Caenorhabditis elegans: one gene and its partner. The protein of the gene in region 2 interacts with the protein of the main gene of each other region in a pairwise test. Each region holds a gene or a part of one and is shown on either strand. Other genes may lie near its edges.

Region 1 (5,494 bases), on a different chromosome or scaffold from region 2:
CGATTTTATAATCAAAATATTACGTTTTATTTGAAGGAGCGTCGGCGATTTTGTTGCGTGACACAACTAACTCGACAATCTCCGTCTGTAATTGTTCCATTTCCTCTTGAGTATTCAACCGGGTGTACATAATCAAATTTCCGGCGTTTTGAACAGTTGGAAGTGGTGGAAGACCTCTGAGTTCTCGTGTCACGCGTATTACTTCCGAGTTTTGAGCTGTACGTTTGTCTGGAAATTTTCAGAATAAGGTAGATTTCTAACGGAAAATGCGGGTTTTCAGTGATTTTTCAAGATTTTTTTAAATCATTTTTCGATAGTTTTTCTACGTAAAAAAGGCTTGAAAACCATAGATTTCGTGTAAAACTAGTGTAAAACCTTTTTTTTAAAGATTTCCAGATGATCATAATTACGATTTTGGATAAAATAATTAATGTTTCAAAAGGAAATACTCACTTGCACTATATCGTACATCATAATTATAATTTCTCTGTTCAGGCGACTGCACAGCCAACGCTTCAATGGCCATAGTCAATCCACCAATTGGTGTAATATCAGTATTAGCCTCACTCGGGCGGCTCACAGTCTCAATGAGTTCTCCGAGCTCTTCTCGAGTCAAAAATCCGTCCGTCCACTGCGTATCCAACATCTTTCCCATGAAGTCCGCCAGGGCAAATCGAAGCTGTAGAGTGCCACGTGGATAGACGTCACTCAGAATTCTGTGCATTTCGAAGATTCCCTCAAGGCACCACGTCCAAATGGTTTTTTCGAATTGAAGTTTCTTCTGTTTTGGGCCTTCTCGAATTGTGACATCGAACGTTTCGTTACAGTTTTCCACGAATTTCGCGCTCCGATCCAGCAGAAAAACGGTTTTCATATCCCGTTGTTCCATCTTAATAATTTTATTTTTAAGAAATTTAGAATCGATTTTTTTTGAAGAATAAACAACGCTTTTCCCGAGAAAAATTAAATTCTGTCAGGGGTTCTTGTATCATCGAAATTTAAATTTGGAAAAGAAGAATAAATTTTTAATATTTCTCTCAGAAACAAAGAAAACTGGTAGCCGAAATGATGAATAAACAGTTGATTTCGAAATATTTCAATTATTTGCAATAATTCAAGAAAAAAAATTCAAAATCTACAGTACTCCAAACTTAAAGGCGCATGAAAGATATCGGAGTGCCGCTGTGCCTCGGAAATTTCCATTTTCTCTTGCCTTTCAACTAAAAAACGTGACAAAAGGTATAAAAATTAAGAATAAACTATAAAAAAAGCATCATTGAATAATAATTTAAAAAAAAATTTTTTAAATAAATAAGTAGGACGGCAAATTGTGGGAAATCATTGGGATATACTTACACAAAAACATATAAATACAAAAAAAACGTGGAATTCAGAAAGAATTACTTGGCAGTGACCTTCGTCTGTGCCTTGATGAGCATCGTTTGAGCAAGAAGACTCTGATGGCGGTAGTAGTTGACTCGAACCGGGTCGATCGATTGAAGATCCTTGTAGAGCTGGAAATTTCGGGAATTTGAGGCGTTTAGAGCGCAAATTCATTTAAAGCGAAAATGTGCACTTTTAATTAAAAAAAAGGAAATTTTTAGTTAAAAATTCTCCAATGTTATCCCATTTCTCATGAACTTTCTAGACTTACAAACCTTTTTAGCGCGCCCAGCGCTTTCTTCCGCAGACTTTTGGTTTTCAATATTTTCGAGCATCATATCGGCGATAAATGCAAGAAGGAATGGTGACCGTTTCTCTTCAGGAGTTGTCTCATACAAATCCTCCACAAAACTGACAACATCACTGTTCGAGGTTACTCCATTTGTGATGAGAAGCCCTGCGAGGTAGTTCCAGGCACTTTCGTTGTTCGGAATATTCTCAATGAACTTCTTGGCGAGGCTAGAAAAATTGAGAGGTTTTGTGTTCAAGTTTAATGGAAGATGTGCAACAACTATTTAGCCTCAAACAAACTCTTAGCCTCAACCAAACTCTTACAAGGAAAGGAAGTCAATCTATCTATGCTCCAGTGCATTTTTTCGCTGACTTCTATATCAAGTAAATGGCCTCAAAAGGGGTTCTGAGAGATTAGAAATTGTTTTTGGGGGTTTTTAGGGTCTAACAAACAATGTGGGAGCTTTTTGGAAATTTTTATTTTTTTGAAAAAAATCTGAAATTTTTTCGATCCATTGGACACCAAATTTTTGGTCAAAAATTTTTTTTTTTGAAAAAATTCCAAAACTATTTTTTTGTATCCGGGCATGCAAAAAGCTACATATTTCTTCGAATTGAGCCTTTTTACAATTTTTTACAATTTTTTACAAAGGGCCCGATTGCAGTTTTTAAAAGTTGAAGAAAAAAATTATTTCCACTGAAAGAATCGAACACGAGACCTTTATTTTATTATTCCAAGCGTTTACCATTCGGCCATCAACCGTTGTTTTTTATTGTTTTCCATGTTTGTAACCATTTCATAATGATTGAAAATCATTTTTTGTATAAGTAAAATGAATAAGTACGAAATAGTATTGAAAACTAGGAGGGCGCAGAGAAAAATTTTCAGATGGCGATTTCAGGGGTTCAGAGTTGAGTTCCGCCGCTGAAATTTTTGTGGTGATCTAGTCTAAACATAAGCTTTCAAATGACATACGTCTCAATTTAAAGTCCGATACTAGATTGACTTCCTTTCCTTGTTAGCCTCAACCAAACTCTTCAGCCTCAACCAAATTCTTAGCCTCAACCAAACGCTTAGCCTCAACCAAATTCTTAGCCTCAACCAAACTCTTAGCCTCAACCAAACTCTTAGCCTCACCCAAACTCTTCAGCCTCAACCAAAAATTTTTACTTTCAAAGTTATCTTCATGTTTGATTAATCAAATATTTGGACAGTTTTCAATTTTTAGGTAGTTTTCATCACTAAAAATCAGAAATTGAGAAGAATATTCTGGAATTTTCGGAGATTTTTAGTTTCTGAATCGCTTTCTACATCAGATAGATGTTTCTCCACTAAAAACGCTAATCGTGAACAAAAAATTGATCGCTGTTATATTTCCTTACTTGATCTCAATGTCAAGCTGGCTCGCATCCTCCGTCTTATCGTAGAGAGTCATCAGAAAATAGCGATAATTATACGCCGAATTGTTGCGATTATCGAGAAGAAGCATGTGAAGAGCAAATGTGAGCTCTTTCTCCAGTGGAACCTTGAAAGTCCGTACAACCCATTGACGGTGCTGCCACGCGTGATAGTTTTTGTTCTCGTCGCGGATGACTTCCGAGCAAAAATGAAGCTCATCGTTCACCGCACTTTCTCCAATCGTTTCGACGATGAAGCGACGGTGATGCCAGACTTGATAGTTTTTCGGTGATTCTTGAATAATATCGCTGAGATACCGCATCTCCTTCTTCAAATCCCATCCCAACTCGGTGAGACACACGCGGCGATACTGCCAAACTGTGTAATTCGCTGGATTAAGTCTAATGCAATCCTCGAGAAGTGCCATCACTCGATCCGACTTCTCGTTTTTTATTAGAATTGCACGGAAGTAGGCGAAAGCATCGGTGACTGCAAAATTAAAATTTGAATAATTATTAATTTGATCTCAAAATTTCTTACAGTCTTCCGTAACAGCGATCTTAACAGCAACTTCTTCCTCCTTACTCGGGTAGATCGGCGTAATATCCTTCCAATCTACGTTATCTTTGTAGAGAGTTGAAGATGGAATATCGCTGTCCGACATTTTCTCCGCCTGCAAGCTTATTTTTCGTTAATATTGGATTTTGAAGGGGAAAACATTAAATTTTGAATTTTTTCTAAATATTTTTCAATAAAAATTGAGCTGGAAACTGGAAAAAACGTCTTAAATGCTCGAACAACTCGGAAAAGAAAAAAAATGGATTTAAAGTTAAACGGTGCAAAGTGTCGTAATTTCCTGCGCACTCTCCGCAAACACTCCGGCTCTCATGTGGATTTACGGGCAGCCAACGCGATTTCTTTCTTATCGCCGATTTGCCTTTACTGTAGGAAATCATGGATTCTGATTATATATTTCATAATGGAGATGATATTCGCAATATGGGACTTGAAGAAATGCGTAAGTAATCTGCAATAATGTGAAAATTCATCGAAAAATCGTTCAGGACGTCAAAAGGTGCTGCTGGCCAGCGAGCTGAAGGCGATTGACGCCCAGATTAGTGATTTAGCATTCAATAATTATGGAACATATGCAGACGCTGGAAGAGCCACTCACGATTGCTCGAAAACTGTAATTTCACGAAAAAATCTATTTAAAGTCTAAACCCTAAATAATTTCAGTTCGGAGAAATGCGCGATAAAACTGTAAATCTGTCGGATCAAGCAGAGGAGTTGACTTCTGCGTTTGTAGAGTTTAGAGCAAAAGCTAAACAGCTTTCTGAAGAGCAGGATCTTGTCAGAAAAGCACTGGACAAGTCAAATCCGATCTGGGAGCTTTTGACGCTACCCTCGGTAATTCTACATCTACTTTTCTTTTTTCTTTGTAATTTTAAAACATTTTAGCGCATGGACATTTGCATTCGTGCAGGATACTATGATCTGGCTTACACATTGACCAATTATGGCTTGCAACTTCAACAACAGACTCAACTCTACCGGAATCCGCTGATAAAAGTCTGAAATCCCCAGGAAAACCTGTTAAAAACGTAAAAAATAATTCTAGAAAGTCGCGGACCACCTAGTCGAAGCTCGTGCTTATCTTTTGGAGGAACTTTTCAACAAATTCGCTGGGCCACTGGATCTTGCAGAATCCATCAAAGTTGTGAATAACGTTCGAAAGATGCCCTCATTGACAGCGAATCAGCTGAGAATCGCCGTTCTTCAGCACCGGGATATTTATCTGGAAAAACAGATTTTAGATATTTCAGTGAGAAATGCCAATCACAACATATTTAATACAATTTATTTCGTTTTTTTCAGGGAAATGTTGACATGATTGTGCAGGCGATCGAGATCTACCGTACCAGTATGTACGACACTCTCGTGCTTTATCTTGCAGTGTTTCCGGAAAACGAAGTTGTTCGAAAAAATGTAAGGGAATCAAATCGAAAAAATTTTGAGCAAAAAACAATAGCCAAGAATAATAAAACAATTTTATTTCACTTTTTTTTCAGCCGAATGCTGATCCGAGATGGGAATCATGGCCAGTTCTGCCACCAAACTCGATTCTGTCACAATGGGTTATTTCGAATGTCAAGAAAATGTTGGATCTTATCACAAAGGCGGATGTTAAGTGAGGATTTTCTCCAATTTCTGAGATTCTCCATAAATCTTGGCTGGAAAATCCACTAAAACTTTAGAAATTCCGGAGAAAATCACCAATTAAAAATTAAAAATTAAAAAAAATGTGCTTAATTTCAGATCAGCCGTCGATCTGTCAGCAGTGTGGACAAAACTAATGGCAATGGCATCATCTTTCGGAAGAATGGGCATCGATTTCCGACCACTGATCGCCGGAAAACT
Region 2 (5,935 bases):
AAATATGAAAAAACCTAAAAGATTCCAGATTTTTCAATTTTTTCCGCATAAAAAAATTGAAAAAAACCTAAAGAAACCGGTGGAATTTCGGAGAAAATTGTGTGAAAAAATGTACATTTTGAGCTGAAAAAGGTGTTTTTTTTGTTGAGAAAATTTCAGAAAAATCGAAAAAAATTAAAAATTGAAAGCGAAAATGTTTCGAATTTTCTCCTGAATTTTTTCGAAACTAAAAACAGATAAAAACCCGGAAAACTCTGAAATTTTTTAATTTTCACGATGTTTCCGAGTTTTTCATCAAAAAATCGAAATAAAACCAGAAAAAACAAGAAAATTTCTAATTTTCAGCGTTTTTCCGTAAATTTTCCGAAAAAAAAAACCGGAAAACACAAAAATTTTAGATTTTTCGGTGTGTTTTCCGAAAAAAAAAACAGAATTGCTCATCAATTTTTCCGTTGTTTTTTCCCTACAAAATTCGGGGAAAAAAAACGAAAATTTTGAAAATTTCAGTTTTTTACGAAAAAAAAAATCCGGAAAAAAATACGGATTTTTTTTGTTTGTTTTGCTGTAAAAAAATAGAATAAAAGACTCAGAAACCCCGGAAATTTCAGATTTTCCGGTGTTTTTCAATTTTTCAATTTTTACGAAAAAAAAAATTGAAAAAAAAAACACGAAAATTTCAGATTTATTAAAAAATGTTTTTATTAAAATTAAATTTTATTTTAATTTAATAAAAACCCACACATTTCTGACAAAACTTGAATTTTAAAATTTCTCAAAAAATTACTGGGTTTTTCCCAAAAATTTCCTAATTTTTAGCTTGTCCGTGGAGTACAATTGGTGAACGGACGTCTTGATTTGGTTGCCATGCAGCTTAACACACTGAAACCAACATCAGAAGCTGGAAATAATGACGAAAAGAATATTGTGTGGATCGAGAAGGGTTGGTTTTTACAAAAAAAAACAAAAAGGGAAAAAATCCCATAAAATCCAATTTTTTGTTATTACACATCCGTGGAAATTTTCTCCCAAAAAATTCCACGAATGTGTAATAACTAAAATTTTTTTCAATTTTTAAAGTTTAAATTTAAAATTGAAAAAAAAAGCTCTGAATTTCTTCATATTTTTCTCCGGATCAGAAAAATGACCAAAAAATGTTCCAAAAAATTCAATTTTTACCCTGAATTTCCTCTAAAAAACCCCGATATTTTCCCCTAAAATTCCCCTAAAAAATTAATTTTTCTCCCCAAAATTCCCTCTAAAAACCCCAATTTTTACCCTAAAATTCCCCCAAAAAATCCAATTTTTTCCTTAAAAATCCCTCTAAAAATCCAGTTTTTCCCTTAAAATATTCCTTTTAAAAAACCCAATTTTTTACCTTAAAATTCCCCCAAAAAACCCTAATTTTTACCCTAAAATTCCCCTAAAAAACCCATTTTTTTCCCCAAAATTCCCTCTAAAAACCCCAATTTTTACCCTAAAATTCCCATAAAAAATCCAATTTTTCGCTCAATTTCCCCTGAAAATACCCATTTTTCACATAAAATTCCCTCAAAATTCCCCCCTGTAAACCCCCAAATTTTTACCTTAAAATTCCCCTAAAAATCTCCAAAAAACTCAATTTTTACCCTAAAATTCCCCTAAAAAACACCAATTTTTCCCCTAAAATTCCCTATAAAAAATACAATTTTTACTTTAAAATTCCCCTGAAAATACCCATTTTTCACATAAAATTCCCCCAAAAAACACCAATTTTTTACCTAAAATTCCCTATAAAAAACCCAATTTTTACCCTGAATTTCCTCTAAAAAACCCCGATATTTTCCCCTAAAATTCCCCTAAAAATCCATTTTTCTCCCCAAAATTCCCTCTAAAAACCCCAATTTTTACCCTAAAATTCCCCTAAAAACCCCAATTTTTTCCCAAAAACACCAATTTTCTCTTGCAGGTCTCCGTCTCTACAAGCCAACGCCCTACTATGAGCAAATGGACACTGTGGAGAAGCTCGATATGACCGTTTTTCACAAATTTGTCGCCTTGATGCTCGGATTTGGAGCACCACATGCTCATTGACACGGGCTCTAAATCCTTTTTTTTTCAAAGAAATTTTGATTTTTTTTTCAATTTTTTAATAGGTAGCTACTGTTTTTCATTGTTTTTTTGGTTGTTTTTTTCTCGGATTTTTTTTTGAAATTGTATTGATTTTTTAATGATTTTTTGTGATTTTTTCCTCGAAATTATTGGTTTTTAGCCAATTTTCTACCTAATTTTCCAGTTTTTCCCAGCTTTTCCCCCCGAAAAATGCCCAAAATTTTCAGCCTAAATGTGCGATATCAGCACGGAAGATCAATTGCTAGAATTTGCACGAAAAGGTTTTTTTTTGGATTTTTAAGCTTTTGGCCCCCGTTGAATTTCCGTATTTTCAGCCGCCGAATCAGGAGATCAGACACAGACTTTTGAATTTAAGAAGCACATTGGTTTTTTGATTCGACACTTGAACGTATTCCCACAGCCGTATAATACGTTGGAGACTAGTCGGTGAGGAGATTAGAAAAAAATTGAAGAAAATTGATAAAATTCCAGTTAAAATTCCAGAAATTTGAAAAAATTGCGAAATTTTTATGGAAAAATTCAAAAATTAGAAAATATTGATTTTTCATTTTTTTTTTAAATTAAAAATCCAATTTTAAGCTATTTTTTGGCTGAAAATTTGTGAAATTGTTTTTAAAAAATTCAATTTTATTGAGAAAAAAACCGTATAAAGTCAATTTTTACATATAAAAATCGATTGGAATATGGAAAATTAAAAAAAAACGTGTAATAACAAAAAAACTATTTCGGAAAATTCACAAAATCTATAAAAAATTTGCGAAATTTTGATGGAAAAATTCAAAAATTAGAAAATATTGATTTTTCAGTTTTTTTAAAATTAAAAATCCAATTTTTTTCGATTTTTTCTTGTTAAAAAGTTTAAGAAAACAGCTTTTAAAAAATCGATTGGAATATAGAAAATTTAGAAAAAAAGCTATTTCGGAAAATTCACAAAATCTATAAAAAAGTTCAAAAAATCAGAAAATATTGATTTTTGAACTTTTGAATTTTTTAAGACTAAAAATCCAATTTTTACGCGCTATAGAATTGTTGAAACCTACTAAAAAATTAACCTAAAATTCGAAAAATACTTCTAAAAATTGGATTCTCCGGATTTTTCACAAAATTAATTTAAAATTACAATTTTTTCAAAGCTAAAAACTGGCAATTTTTCGCCCAATTTTTAAAAAGTTTGAATTAAAATTTAAAAAAAAATTCCCCGCAGATGGAAAAATTCAAAAAATTAGAAAATATTAATTTTTTAATTCTTTTTTAAGTTAAAATTTCAATTTTTAAGATATATTTTGGCTGGAAATTTGTGAAATTGTGGCAAAAAATTCAATTTTCTTGAGAAAAAAAACCGATTGAAATTTAAACACACATTAGAAAAAAAAATGATTTCTGAAATTTCGGAAATTCAAAACATTTGGAATTATTGATTTTTCAGTTCTTTATAGTTAAAAGTCGAATTTTTAAGCAAAAAATTGTAAAAACCTTCAAATTTTTGGCTAATTTTTCAACTTTTAATATCAAAAAATATTAATCTCGTTAACGAAAAATCATTTTTTACGTATAAAAAACTGTTTGGAATTTGAAAAATTGCGGAAAAATAATTATTTCTGAAATTTGAATTTTTTTTGTTGAAAAAATTGTCTGCTATTGTTAAAAAATTAGAAAATCTACTAATTTTTCAATTTTTTAGAGTTGAAAATTAAATTTTTCAAAAAATTTCAAAAATTGGGAAAATTTGCTAATAAAATAGTAAAATTAGCGCTCTGAAAATTCCAAAAAAAAAAAATTAATTTAAAATTACAATTTTCGTAGAAATTCAAAGTTTATTCCAAAAAAAAAACACAATAGTTCAGAATTGTACGTTTTTTTTTTAATTTTGACTGAATAAAATCCTAAAAAAAATTATTTTCTCCAACTTTTCTAATCTAAAATTATCAAATTTTCAGGAAATCACTATTTTAATTGAAAAATTCCATTTTTTTTTCTAAAATTATCTTTAAAAAATTGGAAAAAAAAATTTTTCACCAATTTCCTCTGATTTTAATTTAAAAAATTTCAAAAAATTCTATGAAAATGACCCTAAACTACTCTGAAAAATTCGAAAATGTTTTTTTTTTTTTCATATTTTTCACAAAATTAATTTAAAATTACAAATTTCAAGCTAAAAATGCTCGATTGACTCCCAGTTTTCTCAAAAAAGTTTCACAAAAACTCCGATATTTTCCCCTAAAATTCCCCCAAAAAACACCAATTTTTCCCCTAAATTAAAAAAAATTGCGAAATTTTGATGGAAAAATTCAAAAATTAGAAAATATTGATTTTTCAGTTTTTTTAAATTAAACATCCAATTTTAAGCTATATATATTTTTTAAATTCAATTTTATTGAGAAAAAAACCGTATAAAGTCAATTTTTACATATAAAAATCGATTGGAATATGGAAAATTTAGAAAAAAAAAATTTAATTAGGAAAATTTGAAAAAAAATGCGAAATTTTGATGGAAAAATGGAAAAAAATTAGAAAATATTGATTTTCCAATTTTTTAAAATTAAAAATCCAATTTTTTTCGATTTTTTCTTGTTAAAAAGTTTAAAGAGAACAGCTTTTAAAAAATTAAAATTCAAAAAATTGAGAAAAAGTTTTTTTTTTTCAAATAAAATTGTGAAATTAGTTCTAAAAATTTAGAAAAATGTCGAAAGATACCTCTAAAAATTCAATTCTCTGGGATTTAAAAAAAAAAAATTGGAAATTCCCATCTTTTTTTTTAACTCCCAGAAAAAACTAGAAAATTGTCAAAATTTTGAAAATAACCGTTCAAAATTGGCAGAAAATGGCTTGAAAAATTGCAAAAACCTTATTACACATTCGTGGAAATTTTTCCACGAATGTGTAATAACACAATTCTGATGGTTTTTTTTTGTTGAAAAATTGCTTAAAAATTATTACACATTCGTGGAAATTTTTATTAGGGAGAATTTTTTCACGAATGTGTAATAACACAGTTCTGAAGGCTTTTTCTCCAGAAATAGTTTGAAAAATCGAAAAAAAAAACAATTTTCAAAAAATGCGATTTTTTTTTCTTCAATTTTTCAAACTATTTTAAAAAATTAGTTGAAAAAACTAGAAAAGTTGAAATTTTGAGATTTTTGAGCTAAAAATGCTCAATTTTCTCCCAAAATGTCTCAAAATTAAACTGAAATTCCCGGATTTTTCACAAAATTAATTTAAAATTACAATTTTCAAGCTAAAAATGGGCAATTTTCTTCCGAGAAAATTCTAGAAAAATGCCAAAAAACAGCTTTAAACAATTGAAATTTTGAGATTTTTCAAGCTAAAAATGCTCAATTTTCTCCCAAAATTTCTCAAAAATTTCACAAAAAAAATTCAAATTTTTTCCAGAAACACAATCTTCCTATTCGCAATCTCTTCACTGGATTTGCTCGGCGAGCTCGACAATCTCCTGACTCCGGAACGCCGTCAGGCGTATATCGATTGGATTTACGGACTTCAGTTTACAAACGGTACCCCACCCACGCAAAATTTCTAGGAGTTGAACGCATTTTTCTTGTTAAAAATCTTTTTTTCCCCTTTTTCCCGATTTTTTTCCCATTTTTTTTTCACAAATTTCCATAATTTCCCGTTCAAAAATGTCTTCCCACCACCACGCCGCCCCCGCACTCTATTGTGAACCCGTTTCCCGTGACTTTGGACAGCATACTTTTGGCCAACGAGGCTTTGGAGGCCTACTCGAGGACTGGACGACGCCTAGGCCCGATGGAAAGACCCGATGGATTCCACAGTATAATTTGCAGAATTTTTGGAGGTAATCGGACTG

What was found. The genes of interacting proteins can lie anywhere in the genome.
Region 1: the proteins of Y48E1B.3 (region 2) and fnta-1 interact in a two-hybrid assay, tested with the Caenorhabditis elegans proteins (one large-scale study listed by BioGRID).

What each region holds. Positions count from the first base shown.
Region 1 is NC_003282.8:236,562-242,055, forward strand, and holds fnta-1 (Protein farnesyltransferase/geranylgeranyltransferase type-1 subunit alpha), read right to left. Parts: upstream 3,747-5,494; 5' UTR 3,738-3,746; coding exon 3,614-3,737; intron 3,563-3,613; coding exon 3,058-3,562; intron 1,903-3,057; coding exon 1,659-1,902; intron 1,515-1,658; coding exon 1,401-1,514; 3' UTR 1,030-1,400; downstream 1-1,029. Other genes in the region: ints-13 (Protein asunder), read right to left, coding at 24-228, 454-889; cogc-8 (Conserved oligomeric Golgi complex subunit 8), read left to right, coding at 4,028-4,091, 4,138-4,262, 4,313-4,483, 4,535-4,645, 4,695-4,898, 4,952-5,062, 5,146-5,264, 5,393-5,494.
Region 2 is NC_003280.10:13,564,352-13,570,286, reverse strand, and holds the start of Y48E1B.3 (Geranylgeranyl transferase type I subunit beta), read left to right. Parts: upstream 1-2,315; 5' UTR 2,316-2,320; coding exon of another isoform or gene 2,321-2,369; intron 2,370-2,423; coding exon of another isoform or gene 2,424-2,535; intron 2,536-5,499; coding exon of another isoform or gene 5,500-5,621; 5' UTR 5,622-5,747; coding exon 5,748-5,923; intron 5,924-5,935. Other genes in the region: mrpl-37 (Large ribosomal subunit protein mL37), read left to right, coding at 817-940, 1,946-2,070.